Linked DNA regions of Saccharomyces cerevisiae S288C. The protein of the gene in region 1 interacts with the protein of each later gene in a biochemical or structural test. Each region holds a gene or a part of one and is shown on either strand. Other genes may lie near its edges. The genes, in order: CMK2, GRX4, PIR1 and OPY1.

Region 1 (5,712 bases):
AATTTTTAAATCGGTTGACTTTTTCTCTAGATTTGTTCGGTAAAATGAGGTGTTCTTGTGATAAATTTTCTCTTTTGTTGTCACTTACGTCAACGCTCAGCCTAGGACATGATGTCTTAACCTTAATAGTTCTTCTCGACAATATATTTTTGAAATGTTCGTAATTTCTGAAGAAACTATTTTGTTTTTCAACACATACAGAACTTCTCCTCATGACAACACTTCTTACACTTTGATCTCTACTAAAGGTAGAATTTGGTGAAGCTAGATGGACTGGATAATATGGTGATGATTCCGATATTATTTTCAAATTAGGGGTCAAAATTCTGGACCACGTTGAAGGTTCCCCATACGGATCAGGAGCTGGGTTTGAGCAGACCCAATTTGCTGTTCTTCTCGAGATTGTCTTTGCAATAGCAGGAGTTATACGTTGCATTTCGGCTATCGCTTGATTAGTAGTGTCTTTTAAGGCACTTTCGTCGCTGGAAATTACTGTTGCATGTGTCAATTCGATTGAGAAGGGGTTACTATCTCTTGTGGCCTTTTGTTCCGGAAACGTAAGCAGTTTATTGCCTGAATCAGTAGAGACAGTTCTACCGATTTTTTCAAACTTCCTCTGTGTGGTGCTTTGTTCATTGCGAAAATTTGATCGGTATAAGCGATGTGTACGGTTTAAAGTAAGTTCTTGAAGGGTAGGATTGTTGCTTTCATTAATTTTTTCTAAAGAAAAATTACTTCTCAACAAATATTCAGTTTTTGCTGACGTTGTAAGTGGGAATTCGACGGAGAATGTTTTATCATCGCAAACGTTCTCACTTGTGCATGAACTTTTTGTTGTTTTTGATGTAGTGGCGTTCTTTCCCTTTTTATTCAATATCTTTTTCGATATATAGTGTAAATTTTTGGTGTCACTGTCTAGAGAAAGGAAAGTCTTTCTTGGTGTCTTTTCCCAATTTACAGATACTCTATAATTTACTGTCGTAACCGCAAAAGAATCCACTGAATCTAATTTTGACCATCTTATTGTTCGTTTGAAGGAAAAGCATAAAAATTTGCCGGTAAATTTTCCAATTTTCATACCGTCACCATGAAAAACTGCTCTTTTATCGTCAATAAAAACATTTGGAACATTAACGTTAGTTCTCAAATACAGAATTGCCTCGCCGGTTTTTTCATCCTTTACGCTCTTATATATGAGATCGTGGAAATGCTTGACAAACAAATTATTTAAATTTGCATGAGGTTCTGCAAATAGCAACATGTTGTTTTTAATCCTTCCAAGAACTTTTTTCATTAGTGCAAAATAGGGAGTGAAGACAGCATGGAAAGCGCTTTTTAACGTTTCATTCGTAAAGTTCAAACTGTTCACGGAACATTTTCCAGGCCAGTGGAATCGTACCCAATAAACAGTTGGACATAGAACTAGGACTGGCATACACTCTTCCATTTGGAGAATGGATATTAGTATAATGTAAATATAATTGATTTCATCTGGATGTCTCTCAAAGTCAGCAACGCTGATTCGTTGGATGTATTTGTTTGAACCTGCCAACAGCCTGAAGTACTCTAATTTTTGTTTGTATGTAGCGAAATTAGTAAATTTAGCCAATCTTAGCATGCCTCTAGAAAATGATATATTGATGCTTTCGAAGCCTGGTAATCTAGAGTATTCAATGAACATGATTGAAAAAGCACTAGGCCAGGTGATTATACCGCAGACTTACGGTAATATAAGGGCAAGAGAACTAAAAAAATCAATAATGTAGGCTTATATTACAGTTCTTTGTGAGATATTCCTTTCTAGAGCGTTTTCTGTGTCCACTCAATTAATATATACACTTCCCGTATCCTAACATTTACTGACACAATGATAGGCACAACGCGCGAAGGAGCGGTGGGGCTTTGAACAATAAGGACCCTTACATAGAAAAGGCGTTAGAACAACAATATGGTTAGGCCATAGAAACCTCGGTGTCTTTTAGGAACTTCACAGAATAGAACATACTGCAGTAGATATAAATACACCACTGGGGCAATGCAGCCTGGTTTTTTCCAAATATACAAAACACTTCATGATACTTACTAATGGTCGTTGATACAGTACTCATTGTATCATTGCAGGAGAGTTAGGTTGGCTTTTTTGCATTTATTTATTTATTCATTTACTCAATTGACAGGCAATGTCAATGATTTTTTGGAAGAAATTTGCCTAATGTTTTTACTCAGTTACTCACCGCTCCCTGGATAACATAAGGTTCATTTGCTTCCGTACTGATTTTTTTTGGCAGTCTATAAGCCACTATGTACTTCCCAATGCTCCTGCAGGCATATTCTTTTTCAATTTTCATGTTTTTACTTCCAGTCGTTGAGCATCATATGGATTCTATGTTGATGAGGCTTTTCAGAACGTGCTGTACTTTCGGAGAAGCGCCCGCTTTAACGCAGCGCGAAGAGAATAATTGAGGCTTATCTTAGAACCCTGCCCCCTTTGAAGCCACCCATTGCTGTTTCTCTTGGTAATCCTAATAATATAAAACAATACGATATTGTTCAAGATCAGCAGAACTTCAATTCGTTGATCAATCTTTTCGTCACCTTTTCTTCTATCACATCGCCAATATAAATATAGACACCAAAAATGCCCAAGGAGTCAGAGGTCATAAATTCTGAATTTCATGTAGATGTCCAAGATCCAGAGCGTCTAAACGGCCACCCTGTAGCAAAATTTATCAATAAATTAAGCGGTCAACCTGAATCTTACGTCAACAGGACTAATTATATTTTCGGTCGAACACTGGGTGCCGGTTCCTTCGGTGTTGTGAGACAAGCCAGAAAGTTGTCCACAAATGAAGATGTTGCTATAAAGATCTTATTGAAGAAGGCATTGCAGGGAAACAATGTGCAATTACAGATGCTGTACGAAGAGCTGTCCATTCTTCAAAAATTGAGTCATCCGAACATTGTGTCATTCAAGGATTGGTTTGAATCGAAGGATAAGTTCTATATTGTCACTCAGCTGGCAACAGGAGGTGAATTATTTGATAGAATTCTGTCTAGAGGGAAGTTCACAGAAGTGGATGCTGTTGAAATCATAGTTCAGATTCTTGGTGCCGTGGAGTATATGCATTCCAAGAATGTTGTTCATAGGGATTTGAAACCTGAGAACGTTTTGTATGTTGATAAGTCAGAAAATTCGCCTCTGGTAATTGCGGACTTCGGTATAGCTAAACAATTGAAGGGGGAGGAGGATTTGATATACAAAGCAGCCGGATCGTTGGGTTATGTGGCACCAGAAGTCCTCACACAAGATGGACATGGTAAGCCTTGTGATATATGGTCCATTGGTGTGATCACATATACTTTACTGTGCGGTTATTCTCCTTTTATTGCCGAAAGCGTTGAAGGATTCATGGAGGAATGTACAGCTTCGAGATACCCGGTAACCTTCCATATGCCATATTGGGATAACATATCTATTGATGTTAAGCGTTTCATCTTGAAGGCATTGAGATTGAATCCAGCTGACAGACCAACTGCTACGGAATTGCTGGACGATCCATGGATTACTTCAAAGAGAGTTGAAACTAGTAATATTTTACCAGACGTTAAGAAAGGGTTTTCTTTGCGTAAGAAATTACGTGACGCTATTGAAATTGTGAAGCTTAATAATAGAATTAAGAGGTTAAGAAATATGTATTCATTAGGGGACGATGGCGATAACGATATAGAAGAGAATTCCCTCAATGAAAGTCTTCTGGACGGCGTCACACATTCGTTGGATGATTTACGTCTGCAATCTCAGAAGAAAGGGGGAGAACTAACAGAAGAGCAAATGAAATTGAAGTCTGCATTAACAAAGGATGCCTTTGTTCAAATTGTCAAAGCTGCAACAAAGAATAAACATAAAGTTTTGGCTGGTGAAGAGGAAGACGATAGCAAGAAAACACTGCATGATGATCGGGAGTCGAAGTCAGAAGACTAAATTACGGACTTGAATTCGTGTACATAAATTCGTATATAATATTTAATGTGTAAAGCTAGTGACGATTTTATGTAACCAGCAGCTACACTTCATGGCATTCAAACTATAGACCTTTTCTGGCATTACGCCTCAAGCTTCTTTTTTCCCGAGAATTATCTTGTAGTTGCCTAACGGGTTCTGAGAAGATCTCTATATCATCACAATTCCTATCACAATCTTTAGCGCCATTGTGTAATTCTCTTTTCCCAAAAGATTTATCTGTCCTATCTTCACCTTTTCTTGTCAATGTATTCTCCTCACTCAGATATTCTGAATCATAGTCATCGCTAACGTCAATGTCAACTTCATTTTCACTTTCCTCGGAAACGTCACCATTTACATCACTCGAGTAATGCACCGTGGTTCTTCTCTGAGAGCTTGTTCGCAAATGACGTCCTTCAGTACTGCCTGTAGGGGCAGCAGTTATGCGCTGAATAGTCTCATTTATGAATATACTGAAAATTTTCAAAAACTCAATTAGATTGTCTATACCCTTTTTTGTATCATCGGTGTCATTTTCAGTAAGTGATGATAAACTTTCCAAATACTCAATGAAGTTGCTCAAAGAATTCGAGTCTCCTGCAACTTCAAACCAATGCGGCACCTCGGCAAAGTGAACATCATTGAACTGTAAATTACGGATACATGCAGGAGTGTTCCTATATATAAGTTTAAGTTGACACTTGTTTTCATTTTGTGCGGTTTTTGCAGGCAGTATTTTTGTACCCTCCTCTTTGAATTTTACGAAGTAATTAAGATAAGTTGACATGTCATTGAAACTGTAACTAGTGTTTACTGAACTGCATTCGTTGCCAATCCAGAATGGTGGTAAGTAGAAATCTCCAACTCGTGGAATTCTCGCTATCATAAACTCTGATGTCCTTAACTTGTAAATTTCGTCTACGGTGGGATCATCAATTGGTGTGTGTGTAAATTCGTTTGCAAAATATTCACCCCATTCTTCATTTATTTTAACTGCAGCTCGTAATCTGTCTGTAGTTACTTTTTCGCTCAATGATTTCCGAACACCCTTTAGAAATTTCATCTGACTATTGATCTTACTCAGTTTTCCTTTGTCGCTGGGCTTCCTTTTCTTTCGATTTTCCAACTTTTGACTCATCAAAGAGCATAAAACTTCACAACTATCTAATATGTTATTGGCCCCGCACATAGCAAACCTGCTGGCGTGAAAAGTTTGATGGTTGAACCCTGTATCGCCTTTCAAGTGAGTGAGCCTTTGAATTTCATTATGGAAAAGTGCGGAGTAGCTACAATTCCAATCGATCATGCATCTCAATAATATTATTCTATCTAATGGTTCCATCGTCAACAAACCACCTCCATTAAAATTTAGAGTAGATAAAATATCACTATTACCACGCCATTCTTTTGGTAAGCCCCACTCCTGGATTAAGCTTCTGAGTTTGCCAACCAGTTTTCCATATGGATTTTTCAAACTAAGAAATCTTTTTAGCGTGAAATTTCTATGAGTTTGGTTGTCTGCTCTTTTCTCGGAGCAGAATAATAACCTCAAAAGACTGCAAAATAGTAGATTCATTTTATCCTGACAAATTCGAATATTCTTCGCAGAATGGCCAGCCACCTTTAATTCTAGTCCTATCTCCACATCTTGAAATGACAGGTTCAGTAGATCGTCGCTGAACACCCATTTAAATTTGACGATAAAAGAA
Region 2 (5,175 bases), on another chromosome or scaffold:
TAGAGCCGTTTTGTAATGAGTAGCTAGTTGATGGACGCTCCGTTTCTGAATATTCTTTCCGAAAACACGAATTACAAAGTAAAACCATGTCTTCACCCCCAAACCTGATGATTTGAAGTTGGTGTATATTTTTATCTTGACATTCCTCACAGCAAATATCTTCATCATTTGAAGTGTCGAATACAGTTTTATGCCTCGTACTTGAGAGATGCTTCATCATCTGCTCAGCATCATAAGCCTGGCTACACGTTCTGCACTGAAAATCCATCGTGTAGTACTTCTTAGTCTGCGGAACTCCTTATATTGTCACAACTTTGTTCGAATTCTTCAAATGATGAACTTACATTATACATCACTCTTGAGCATTTTAAGACTCTAAAATCGCATACAAATAGCATCCATTACCCGACTACACAGGAATAAAATACGGCGGAAATATAAAAAAAAAAAAATAGCGGCATCTTCAATATCTCTGTACTGATTACTAAATAGACGGTAACCAATTCACGTTGCCGATCGAGGTGTGACACATCACTGTCATGTTCATTTTACAATTCTTATTGAGTGAGAGCGCTTGTATAGAATTTCTATCTTTCTTTTAAGAGGTGCAGTTCAAGTAGGATTTAGTTGGAAATGATAACTTGTTTGAGTAAGCTTTGGTTCCGCTTGTTATGACCTGCTTCATTCTCATATAACCTCATTTGTTAAAAATCTAAAAAAGAATCAATTTCTTCGATTATAAGTGCGTACCAAAAAAGCGGCTAATTTTGGTATTTGTGATATCAAATATACATTGCAACCCAATTTTCATCATTGCGCTTGAGTTTACTATTTCAAGTCGGTGTGGTGAAAGGTCTCTCCAATATTTGGGTACCAATTTATCGAAGCAGCTGAAATTTTACGATGTTAGATCGATTCCCGTGTCTGACAGTGTTTGGGCTGCAAATTTTTTGTGCTTCTTGAAGGCAACATGTGAGATCGGGAAGTAAAGCCCGCCAGAGTATGTTCTCAGTAAGTCATATTGACATAACACTTGGATCAATTGCGTATTTAGAAATTAATTCCTGTTTTATTTTAAGATGCTGACATTTCAATTATAGATTTTTAGCCTGTCTTATACCACCTAGAATAATTTGCTAATGTTTAGAAACTGATCTTGGTGCTCACGCTAATATTAAAAAATATACCCTGCCTCAATATCATTATGAGTATTTTATTCTCAAATATCATCCGCGAATTTTCTTGCAGAATATTTCTACAACCACGTTTGTTTTGACTAAAACAGATAAATGTTTTATGTAGTCTCATGCATTGTTAAATGACCAATAAAAAGGGTGTTCCATCAACCTATCTAATCAGAAAAATTAGGTGCAATTCTGCCGTTGTTTACTATAAATGAATCACACCTTATGTGTTGATGTTCATGACTCACAGTAATATCCTTTTTTTTTCTGGTTTTCCGAAAGTTTATCTTCCTTATTTTCATTTTTAAAGGAAAAGGAATGTAACTAATTTAGTATGTTTTCGTTGTAGCAGTCTTTATTAGTTGTTATGAGAATTATCTCCTAACAAGATAACAAAATAAGTGATAATAATGTCTACCTTTTCTGCTTCTGATTTCAACTCAGAAAGATATTCATCTTCAAGACCTTCTTATCCCTCCGATTTTTACAAGATGATTGATGAATACCACGACGGAGAAAGGAAATTACTCGTAGATGTTGGCTGTGGACCAGGTACTGCCACTTTACAAATGGCTCAGGAGTTAAAACCATTCGAACAAATTATCGGAAGCGATCTCTCCGCTACCATGATTAAGACTGCAGAAGTAATAAAGGAAGGAAGTCCTGATACATACAAAAACGTTTCATTTAAGATTTCTTCAAGTGATGATTTTAAATTCCTAGGCGCGGATTCAGTAGACAAACAGAAAATTGATATGATTACCGCAGTAGAATGTGCTCATTGGTTCGATTTCGAAAAATTTCAGCGATCTGCTTATGCCAATTTGAGAAAAGATGGTACTATCGCTATTTGGGGTTATGCGGACCCAATTTTCCCGGACTACCCTGAATTTGATGATCTGATGATTGAAGTTCCTTACGGGAAGCAAGGACTGGGACCCTATTGGGAACAACCGGGGAGATCTCGCCTTCGTAATATGCTGAAAGACTCTCACTTAGACCCAGAACTTTTCCATGATATACAAGTTTCATATTTTTGTGCAGAAGATGTGAGAGACAAAGTAAAACTCCACCAGCATACAAAGAAGCCATTGCTAATCAGAAAGCAGGTCACCCTAGTGGAGTTTGCAGATTATGTCAGAACCTGGAGCGCTTACCATCAGTGGAAGCAGGATCCAAAGAACAAAGATAAAGAAGATGTAGCAGATTGGTTTATTAAAGAGTCACTAAGGAGGAGGCCGGAACTTTCCACCAACACCAAAATTGAAGTTGTTTGGAATACTTTTTACAAACTTGGCAAAAGGGTCTGAAAATTTCAGCCAATAAGCATTATATTCGTGAAATTTTAGTAAGAGCGCGCGTTTTAATTGGTGAAGCCTCGCGACGTATTCACAGATGTCCTAGAAAAAGTTACCATATCTGAAGACTGGTTGATATTTAGCTTAAATAGCATATTAATACTGTACCAGTTGAACCATTTTTTAATCTGTTACTGCCAGGAACGTTGATTCGTTTTCCCGGTAACATTGTTGTCTTTGGGTACTGAGCATATTTCATTTTTCCACTTACATATAACTAAATTTCTGTGCTCTTCCTCCAATAAATATGACTGTGGTTGAAATAAAAAGCCAGGACCAATTTACGCAACTAACCACTACAAACGCTGCTAATAAACTCATTGTCTTATATTTTAAAGCTCAATGGGCTGATCCTTGCAAAACTATGAGCCAGGTGCTAGAAGCTGTTAGTGAAAAAGTTAGGCAAGAGGATGTCCGGTTTTTATCAATAGATGCAGACGAACATCCAGAAATATCAGACCTTTTTGAGATTGCAGCCGTACCATACTTCGTCTTCATTCAAAATGGTACTATTGTAAAAGAAATATCAGCCGCAGATCCTAAGGAGTTTGTGAAAAGCTTAGAAATTCTTTCGAATGCTTCTGCCTCACTAGCGAACAATGCCAAGGGTCCTAAATCTACGTCTGATGAGGAAAGCAGCGGGTCTTCCGATGATGAAGAGGACGAAACTGAAGAAGAAATAAATGCTAGGCTGGTGAAGCTAGTACAAGCTGCACCTGTGATGCTATTCATGAAAGGAAGCCCATCAGAACCTAAATGCGGATTTTCTAGACAGTTAGTTGGTATCCTCAGAGAACACCAAATAAGGTTCGGATTTTTTGATATATTAAGAGACGAAAACGTTAGACAAAGCTTGAAGAAGTTTTCTGATTGGCCTACTTTTCCTCAGTTATATATCAATGGGGAGTTCCAGGGAGGTTTGGATATTATCAAGGAATCTATAGAAGAAGATCCTGAATATTTCCAACATGCTCTACAGTAAGCCTTATTTTGTAATGAAAACTATATTCATACATATATACATATTAATATATATGTATATATTTTTATTTATTAATTTATTCTAGAATGTAATGTGCATAGATTTGTGTGGAATATTTCCTGGGGTTTTCTCGTCAAATTTAAAGAGTAAAAAGTTAGAGTATTTCCAGATCTGAATCTGAAAGGGACTCACTGATAACTGGCGCTTTACGCGGCTGTCTCTGGGACAGAATTTCACATAGAGACTCGTCTTCGTCGCTTCTACCAAATGTTTCATTGCCAATATTATTGCTGTTATCGCTATCGCTATCGACAATAGGGTCATCATTAAAAGAAGTTTCTTCGTCTTCAAGATCGTCGTTAGCCATCATCACATTTCTTTCATATTGGTCAATCAACATGCGAAGCCTTCTGTCCCTTTCCTTTTTTTGATCCTCTAAATGGTCACAATTATTGCTATCATTATCCATCAATGGTGCTAGTCCATCCTCCACAGATAGTGCTTCGATAGGCCCGCCTATCCGATCCACAACGTCGATTCCGTTCTCAACTTTCATTATATCACTAAATTTGTCCATGGTTTGTTTGGGCCCCGAGGAGCCACTCGGAAGATTCTTCAAATAATAGAGAATGTATTTTTTTTTATAACTCTGACACTTTCTAATTAGAGGTGCGTAGTAGCCAAATTCTAGAGTTATATTCCTGAAAGAATGTACCGCGTTGTACTTATAAAGACTAACATTTAACCAATCTTCAGCTTGAACTTTAAATGAATTTTGTAATTTTCTTACTTTCCATTCTCTTGGAAAATAAACCGTTCCATGATTATGGCCTTGTTTACTGATGTTACGAAAGGTTTTGCGCACTTCTCGTAAACCATACTCATTGGATTCTGGTAGACCATTCATATTATCACACTCGCTCAGGCAATCCACAATTGATGATGCATCAGAAATGCTGAATTCGCCTTTATTAAATGTGTTATAGTTCTCTAATATTCCTAATTTGAAATCCTCTTTCGATAACAAATTGTTCGAATTTTCGAAGAGGTTATTAATCATTTCGTTATCGTTATTCGTGCTATGGGAACCATGTATCACCTTCCCAATGGCATGAAAGTATGATATGGTGGATTCTCGGGTTGAAATCGGCAAACTTCCACTTGATGTCGCCCAAAATTGAAGGGTCGTAATGGCCGACCTAATATCACCAGTCTCTTGCGCAATATAATCTATGACTTCCTGTCTTTTATTCCATTTATTTTTCTCCTTCAACATTTTCATATTCTGTACACAAATAAATTTCAAGTGCTTTTTTAATAAAGTGCTGTTAATTGGATTAAACTTAATTCTTTTCAACCTTGGATGCATCAATATTTCTTTGTTCATTATGGTTTCTGCACTAAATGTATAATCAATACCAAATTTGCGATAATTATTATCGTTCTCTGGAATTTCACATTCAGTTATACATATAACAAGGGGAGGTAATAGAGGCTCCGAACTATATAGCCACTGTAATATAAGTTGTTGAAATCGACGTCTGGTATCTATATGGAAGACGTTGGGAAGGTCCTCGATAAGTATTAATGACAGGTTGGACATCACAAGATACCGTGCGCCTTTTAAGAACTCACTAAAGCTTTCCATCTG
Region 3 (5,277 bases), on another chromosome or scaffold:
AGAAGTCACCAGACAAACATTGGTAAAAAGTATCCTGGTCACCAAGAGCTAAGTTACCTTCTGGGGTGATGGACCAACCAGCAGCATAGATAGCACCAGCTTGTGGTGGAGGACCATCGAATTGGAACTGTCTGTTGGCAACGATAGAGCCAATTCTACCCTTCCTATCGGTTAAGATACCCTTGCTTAAACTCATTGACAAGGTACTATTGTTATTACAGGAAACAACATCGACTGGATCGTTAGCGTCTTTCACTTCAGCAGTAGCCTGGACTTGGCCATCACTTACTTGACTAGCGCCACTGGTAGTTTTAGATGCTTGTATCTGCCCATCTGTAATTTGGGATGCAGCAGCCTTAGTAGAGGTAGTGGCCTGAACTTGGCCGTCAGAAATCTGAGAGGCAGCGGCAGCAGTAGACTTGGCAGCTTGAACTTGACCATCAGTTATTTGAGAAACGGCAGCGGCAGTAGACTTAGCAGCTTGAACTTGACCGTCAGTTATTTGAGAAACGGCAGCGGCAGTAGACTTAGCAGCTTGAACTTGACCGTCAGTTATTTGGGAAACAGCAGCGGCAGTAGACTTAGCAGCTTGAACTTGACCGTCAGTTATTTGAGAAACAGCAGCAGCGGTGGATTTCTTAGAAACAGCAGCAGTAGTAGTGGCAGCCTGTACTTGACCATCACCTATCTGAGAGGCGGCTCTCTTTGCTTTAGATGAGGCGACGGAGGAAGCACTGGTAGCCACGGCTTCAATAGCAATACCGAAACTCGAAGAGTAATCTGTTATACCACCCTTGTAAGTAGCTGATGGAGTTAAAGTGGACCACGGGTCCTTTGGAGCATAGGCAGCTAAAGATGTAGCAGCTAAAGCGGAGACGACTAATGGCTTTTTATATTGCATTTTTACTTATAAACAGTACTTGTTTTATGAGATTTCTTATTGATGTAAATGTAATAATTATCTAAAGAAATCTTAGGTTACAGTTTCAGTGTTAGACAAAACAAGACACAAATCAATAGAGCATGCTAAATGACGAGAATCTTATATAGGCTTGATTTGGCGCATGTTGTAATGAATGGAGTAGGGATAATCCTGGAGATGCATGATTTATCCCTTCTATTTCAGTCGACGGCGAAATATGCCAAATTTAGAAAGCCCTCGGCCTTTGATCTATAATTAGTTTGCTAATCGTTTGATCCCCTTTAACTTGCAATAACTTTTCCCGATGAGGTAAAAATACAGCTTAACCGCCAAGAAATTGCGCGGGGCCAGAAATCAAATTTAAAGGAAGTAGTGTACAATAAGGTCGATTTACTCCTTCAACTACTACTACATTCGGAAATGGTTGCTCGGTTCCGAATAAGGTCTCTTACGCTAGCTTCCCGGTGACCTTACCGATCTATGCCCGTAAAGTATTTTTGCAATTGTATTCTGTACAAAAGTTGTCTTTTGGATGCATTTTTCACACATTTGCATCAATGAAAGTCCGAATGCGCCTATCATCCCGTTGTTGTCTTAAGATTATAAGAAAGTACATGGGCAAAAACACGATAATAGTAATGTAGTGACTCCCGTTTAGAATAAAGAGCTGCGCACATACCTAAAATGGTTGCACATTTTAGAAACCTACTCGGTGGCACGTGAAGTGGTATACATTTAGTTAATAGTTAAATAATTTTCGTACAGAATATCGCACCGTCTCTTAGCATAACAGTGTATCTCACAATCTTTGTTCCTGTTACTAGAGCGAAAACTTAATGATCTAGTTATATCTTCTTTTGTCCCCTCTTGGCCCCTCAATAATGTTTTATTTAGCACCAGCACTTTTCTCATTTGGTTTTTCTTTTTTTTCTAATATATTCTGCCTTTCCTATTTAGGTAATAATTCCTCGAAGCCAGACGCCTTTTTCGGCTACTTTTTTGACAGCTGCTGCCCCTTTAATGAAACGGTTGGTCGAAAAGGAGTCAATGTATATCTCATATGAAATATGCAAAGCATTCCTGTCATCGGAAAATGACGTGGCTTGGAGCGCATAAAAATGGAGAGATCGGCCAGCTTGCTCTTAATTATATCATCATTTATTATTAGCAGCCTTTTTATGTCCTGCCAATTATAGAAGCAACGCTAATAAAAGAAATTGAGATGGCGGACGTAAATCCTTCTTGGAGCTCGATTACTTGCTTTAATAATACGATGGACCATCATTTAGCCCATGTATCTGAAAGGGTTTAGACTGTGTCCAGTCAATCTCTCCTGCCCAAATATTAGAACGCTGGTATACTAATTATTCTTTCAATAAGAAGATCGTAATGCTACAATTCTCACATATAAAAAGGAGCAAGATCTTTACTACTTTATGCATAGTTGTCCTATCTTCTCTATTACTGTATAAGAATAATATCATCAAGAAAACAAAAGTTAATACACTGGTATTAAAAAAAAACAAACTACAAAACTCCCCTAATAGTATATTCTAGAAAATGCAATACAAAAAATCATTAGTTGCCTCCGCCTTAGTTGCTACATCTTTAGCTGCCTATGCTCCAAAGGACCCGTGGTCCACTTTAACTCCATCAGCTACTTACAAGGGTGGTATAACTGATTACTCTTCTACTTTCGGTATTGCTGTTGAACCAATTGCCACTACTGCTTCCTCCAAGGCTAAGAGAGCCGCTGCTATCTCTCAAATTGGTGACGGTCAAATCCAAGCCACTACCAAAACCACTGCTGCTGCTGTTTCTCAAATTGGTGACGGTCAAATCCAAGCCACTACTAAAACCAAAGCTGCTGCTGTCTCTCAAATTGGTGACGGCCAAATCCAAGCCACCACCAAGACTACCTCAGCTAAGACTACCGCTGCAGCCGTCTCCCAAATTGGTGACGGTCAAATTCAAGCCACTACTAAAACCAAAGCTGCTGCTGTCTCTCAAATTGGTGACGGTCAAATCCAAGCCACTACCAAAACAACTGCTGCAGCTGTCTCTCAAATTGGTGACGGTCAAATCCAAGCCACTACTAAAACCACTGCTGCTGCTGTTTCTCAAATTGGTGACGGTCAAATCCAAGCCACCACCAATACTACTGTTGCTCCAGTCTCCCAAATCACTGATGGCCAAATCCAAGCCACAACTTTAACTTCTGCAACCATTATACCATCTCCAGCTCCAGCTCCAATTACTAATGGCACTGACCCAGTAACTGCTGAAACATGTAAAAGCAGTGGCACTTTAGAAATGAACTTAAAGGGTGGTATCCTGACTGACGGTAAAGGTAGAATTGGTTCTATCGTTGCCAACAGACAATTCCAATTCGATGGTCCTCCACCACAAGCTGGTGCTATCTATGCTGCTGGTTGGTCCATCACCCCAGAAGGTAACTTGGCCATCGGTGACCAGGATACTTTTTACCAATGTTTGTCAGGAAACTTCTACAACTTATACGATGAGCACATTGGAACTCAATGTAATGCAGTCCACCTACAAGCTATCGATTTGCTCAACTGTTAATCATAAGTTTACCTCTCATAGTCGCATGAAAACATAAAGTCATCGTAGCATATTCTGTACATTAGTCATTTCTGTCTCCAAAGGGCATAATTTGGGTCGGTTCATTTTTTTCTTCTTAATTCGTCTCTTCATTTCATAAAGCTTTCTTTTGAAACCTATGAAATGAGCTTTACAGTTCTTCACTCTTTTTTTTAAAGTTTGTTTATTTTTTTATACTATATACATTATTATTTCTAAAAAATCATTATAAATTACGTTAAAAGCGCACCTTATACTTTGATAGAGTTTTCCCAGAAAAAAAACCAACGAATTTGATAGTACCAAGACTTCACGGGATTGAAATCGGATGCAACTTCAACTATTCCTGGGACAGAATATTTCTCAGACATTACTTTGTGTACCGTGGAGCCCTTTCTCATTTGAGAAGGAAACAAATTGTTGTCATCTTATAATGCCATATATTCGTCACTATCTCAGTCAAAATTTAAGAAAATTGACATGCATATTATCATCCATTTAGTAGTATACGTGTTACTAGTATATTATCACACACGGTGTATTCTGTACACATAATATTATAGCCTTTAACAGCAATGAAATCCAACATTCCCCACAACATTCACCAATTATCCATGTAAATGAAAAGAGTTCTTTAATATTTACATGAGTAATTCCATTACGTTTCAATTTTCTATCCTTTGTAATCCGATATAGTGTAACGGCTATCACATCACGCTTTCACCGTGGAGACCGGGGTTCGACTCCCCGTATCGGAGTTTTCATTATTATTTTTAATCTAGCAGTACTAGCGTGATGTTAATGTTACTCATTTTATTTTGTTGAATCATTATGGTGCAGTACTTTTCATAGATATGTATTTCATATGTGTCTTTTCGTCCTAAACTACAGGATGTTAATCGTTGAATATGTATATGTTGATGCCACGTAAATAATATGTGTATTCTTTTTGCATCGCTGTCATTAAACGCGAAAAAAAAACCTTAAAGGTAAAAAGAACCGTTCTTTACTATATATTCAACAACCCATCTTCGACCAAAGCATTGAAGAGCCTTAGGACTCATACAACTGAAATCTGTAAAAAATGTGGAACAAAACCAGAACGACGCTTCTGGCTGTTGGTGTCTTATTTCATTTATTTTACCTATGGTCTATTTTTGATATCTATTTCATTTCACCGCTCGTTCATGGTATGAGCCCATATCAAAGTACTCCAACCCCTCCTGCAAAGAGATTGTTTTTGATTGTCGGTGATGGTTTACGTGCAGATACCACTTTTGATAAAGTCACTCATCCAGTATCCGGAAAAACAGAATTTCTGGCACCTTTTATTAGATCTTTGGTAATGAATAATGCCACCTACGGTATATCACATACCAGAATGCCAACTGAATCCCGTCCTGGTCATGTTGCTATGATTGCTGGGTTTTACGAAGATGTTAGTGCCGTCACAAAAGGTTGGAAGTCAAACCCTGTCAATTTCGATAGTTTTTTCAACCAATCTACTCATACTTATTCATTCGGTTCACCTGACATTTTACCTATGTTCAAAGATGGCGCTTCTGACCCAAATAAAGTTGACACTTGGATGTATGATCATACTTTCGAGGATTTTACGCAATCTTCCATCGAGCTGGATGCTTTTGTCTTTAGACACTTGGATCAATTATTCCACAATTCCACACTGAACTCAACATTGGATTATGAAATTAGGCAAGACGGTAATGTATTCTTTCTACATCTACTAGGTT
Region 4 (3,450 bases), on another chromosome or scaffold:
TTATTCTTTTTCATTCGTAAAACATCTAACTTCATGAGACTATTCATCAGGGGATCTTTCTTTTTCTCCATCCTCTTGATATCTAACTGGTCATAGTTCATGGCCTCGTTTAATATTTGTTCGACTTTCCCGTTAAGTTCTTTATTCTCATCCTTTAATAAAATTAAATCTAGTTTTAGCTTCAGTAGCAGACTTGGGCTCGTATTGATACAATGTGCACAGTACACTACATGCGCTCTATGGTGGCAAATTGGGCAATGCATGTCATACTAGGATTCTAGTTTTTAACTTTTACTTCCCTTTTTCTCTACTCGTTATCCTTCTAATCACTTTTGTATTTGGTCCTTTCCCTTAATTTTCAGCGAGGAAAAAAGTGCTTATTATCATTAAAATACAAATAAATAAATAGTTTTTTAACTAGACGTAAGGAAAACAATTACACGTATTATTTAATAGTACAAAGAAAAAAAAAGTCAATACATATTCATCATTGGCATTGCTTATATATTTTCGGCCTTTAATTTTTTTCTTATCAAAATTCCACTCTTGAAATTTATTATCCAATCCACCATATCTTGATCGTTAGCGGCTTTAAAAGATAACCTTTCATCAAATGTAATTAGCGCAAAATTAGTGTCGTCATTTTTCATCTTCGAATTATTATCAAGTTCAATACAATCGATAATTTTATCCAATTTAATGCTTTTCTTTAACTTCCCAGTCTTGAAAGAGTATAAATTGAACGAAGTATTAGTCAATTCCACATTGAACTTTTGCCATTTAGCCCTATTGAACAGTTTCTTCTTTTTCACTTTTGTGTAAAGAATCCCAGAACAAACCTGGTGCTCTGCATTTCTTGGATCGAACATCCTATAAAATTCTTTATCTTCACGAGACAGTTGCTCATCCATCGTCAAACTGCAAGAATGCTTGCTGCTAGAAGGACCCGCCTTTTCGTCAACTACAATTAAATCATCATCATCCTCTTCTTCATCATAATCACTACCTGTAGTGACACTTTCGTTGCCACTAGGACTAGAGAGGAATTTTTCAAGGGCAATTTTCCAATTATGCATCAGTTCCATACCAACCTTCTCATTTTGCCCTCGTGGAAATTTGAATATTAAATCCTTGGATGGAGTATAAACAGTTAATATACCATCGAGCTCGCTTATCTTAAAATTAAGTATGTCAAATCTCGGTATGACACTTATAGCCTCTCTTTCATCCCGAGTTTTGTAATAGGCAAATTGGTTTTTCCTCAAGACACACCAATATTGATGGTCTGTTGTCCGAGGCCACCATAAATGACGATGGTGATGATGGTGATGATGGTAACCCTGCGGTGCACCATCAGCAGCTCCATTGTTACCTGAACTGGATTGAGCTGTCGGCGTTTTATTTTGAGACGTTGATGGCTTCTTGATGAGATTCGATGCGATCAAAATTTCATGCTGACTTGACGGAGCAGTCGCACCTGCTATCATTGGTCTTATGAAATTTACCAAGGCAAAATTAGCGTAATTATTTATGGTTAATTCACCTACTGGCTACTATTGCGTACCACATTTTGGCCTGTTCGTTTAATTTCAGCCACATTATAGTAGAGAAAAAACCGTTGTGAGTGACCGAAAGTGAAAAATATGGATTCGTGTCTATAAAACCTTAGAGGCATCTATTTACTTTTGTTCTATTATCTAAATGAATCCTATATATATACTCCCTTGTGTCGGCATATTCTAGGATTGGGCCCCGTGAACAACCATACTATTTCCCTTTTTCTTATGAGTGGAGGAAACAGTTCTTGTAACACCGGGAGGCACTGAGATTGTGGGAGATGTACTTGGATCGTTATTATGCGTTACATTTGTTTTACTACTGCTCGAGCTTGGTTTTCTTACTGAGGCAGTTCTTTTAACACCAGGCAAAACCGGGGATGCAGATTTTGGAATAGAACCCGATGACAGCAAAGGCGACGCAGTATAGAAACTTCTTCTTTTATTGTTACTGCTATTACCATTGGAGGATGAATCGTTTGTGTTCGGCGTCTTTCTTAATTTGACCATCTTAATAGGAAGCATATCCTGTGCATTATTGCTACTCAAAGCGTCAGCGTTGTTGCTTTCCACCTGGGTTTGTACATTCTTCTTCAAGGTTTGTACTACCGCGCCTTTATTACTAATCTTCTCATCGTTTCTTTTCAAGACGTCTTTCAAATCCATCTTTTCAGCAAAAGTTGATATCAGATTTTCGTTCGTCTGGTACAGATTTAGCCAGCTTTGTAGATTTAACTCATCTAAAGAGTGAGTGATTATCTTGCTTAATTTTGAATCCTTTTCTGTTTCCAGAGATTTCAAATCTTTCACAGAGTCATTGAATTTATTTAAATTCAATTCTATATCTGAATTTGAACTAGTATCTGAACCATAATTTAAATTTTGATTACTTAACTCTAACTCCAACAAACCGATTTTTTCATTTAATTTGGAAATTTCATCAGAATAGTGGTCTCTGTAAAGATTTTGTGACTCCAATAATGAATTATAGTTAACTTCCATATTTTGCAATTTTTCAGAGCAAGATTGTTCAATGGCACTAGAATTTTTCGCCAATTTACTCAATTGATCCATTTTCTCCTTTTGTTCATTGTAACGGTTACTCAATTCGCTATAATCTTTCTCTAGCTCTTTTAGCTTCTTGTTCTTTCTTTCAAATATCGAGTTGAGATTTTCGTTCTCGTTCTTCAGCAGATTTAAATTTTCCAGTAGTTTTGATTCTTTGGATTGTGCTAATTCCAATTTACTCAATAAATTTTGAGATTGCGTAGTCAATTGTAGATTTGTTTTTGTCAGCATATCAATCTGGTCATGCAGTGATTCAATGACTCTCGAAGATGAGGCATTTTGGCTGGAGGTATTTCTATCTTTTGTGGGGGAACTTTCCAAGTTTGCCATAAAAATATTATGGTGAGGTGCCAACTTGCTTGAAGAAGTCTGGGTATTATCCTGGTCCGACATCTTACACAAAAGTAGTGTCGTTGAACCTTGGCGTGCTTGATAGACGAGCTAACGTTTGGTAACCCCTTCAGACTGCTGCTACTCATGGCAACAAATCAATAAACAAAATGCAATAGTAGTTAGTAATGAAGCTCTCGCCCGAACAAAAGACGAAACGAGCGGGTAACTATTTAGCCTATTTTATTGCGATGACAATAATATGTAGTAGCAATAGGGAAATAGTTTCATTTGACGTGGAACCAAAAATACATTCTAAATCGTACAACTATTAAATTGATATATGAAAGACGGATATGAGACTACACTATATTACGGTTTTTGATCCATCAAGATCTACCAACGAAAATGACACTTTCAAGCAGTTGCTGCTGTTCCATTATTTTGGCACTACTGATTCAATACCCTCTTTAAACGAAAAACTGTCCATCATAGG

The links.
Region 2: the proteins of CMK2 (region 1) and GRX4 form a complex in vitro, tested with the Saccharomyces cerevisiae proteins (one large-scale study listed by BioGRID).
Region 3: the proteins of CMK2 (region 1) and PIR1 form a complex in vitro, tested with the Saccharomyces cerevisiae proteins (one large-scale study listed by BioGRID).
Region 4: the proteins of CMK2 (region 1) and OPY1 form a complex in vitro, tested with the Saccharomyces cerevisiae proteins (one large-scale study listed by BioGRID).

The regions. Positions count from the first base shown.
Region 1 is NC_001147.6:293,047-298,758, reverse strand, and holds CMK2 (calmodulin-dependent protein kinase CMK2), read left to right. Parts: upstream 1-2,638; coding exon 2,639-3,982; downstream 3,983-5,712. Other genes in the region: IRC10 (Irc10p), read right to left, coding at 1-1,681; ESC8 (Esc8p), read right to left, coding at 4,086-5,712.
Region 2 is NC_001137.3:536,783-541,957, reverse strand, and holds GRX4 (monothiol glutaredoxin GRX4), read left to right. Parts: upstream 1-2,789; coding exon 2,790-3,524; downstream 3,525-5,175. Other genes in the region: ECM32 (RNA helicase), read right to left, coding at 1-268; YER175W-A (uncharacterized protein), read right to left, coding at 1,144-1,308; TMT1 (trans-aconitate 3-methyltransferase), read left to right, coding at 1,595-2,494; RAD24 (Rad24p), read right to left, coding at 3,679-5,175. UniProt on the Saccharomyces cerevisiae protein: Monothiol glutaredoxin involved in the biogenesis of iron-sulfur clusters. Binds one iron-sulfur cluster per dimer. The iron-sulfur cluster is bound between subunits, and is complexed by a bound glutathione and a cysteine residue from each subunit.
Region 3 is NC_001143.9:140,025-145,301, reverse strand, and holds PIR1 (beta-1,3-glucan linked protein), read left to right. Parts: upstream 1-2,482; coding exon 2,483-3,508; downstream 3,509-5,277. Other genes in the region: PIR3 (beta-1,3-glucan linked protein), read right to left, coding at 1-901; mannose-ethanolamine phosphotransferase MCD4, read left to right, coding at 4,611-5,277. UniProt on the Saccharomyces cerevisiae protein: Component of the outer cell wall layer. Required for stability of the cell wall and for optimal growth. Required for resistance against several antifungal and cell wall-perturbing agents and for tolerance to heat shock.
Region 4 is NC_001134.8:493,853-497,302, forward strand, and holds OPY1 (Opy1p), read right to left. Parts: upstream 1,488-3,450; coding exon 501-1,487; downstream 1-500. Other genes in the region: ATG14 (Atg14p), read right to left, coding at 1-263; SHE3 (She3p), read right to left, coding at 1,740-3,017; CCZ1 (Ccz1p), read left to right, coding at 3,311-3,450. UniProt on the Saccharomyces cerevisiae protein: Binds phosphatidylinositol 4,5-bisphosphate (PtdIns(4,5)P2/PIP2) at the cell membrane. Negatively regulates the activity of phosphatidylinositol 4-phosphate 5-kinase MSS4.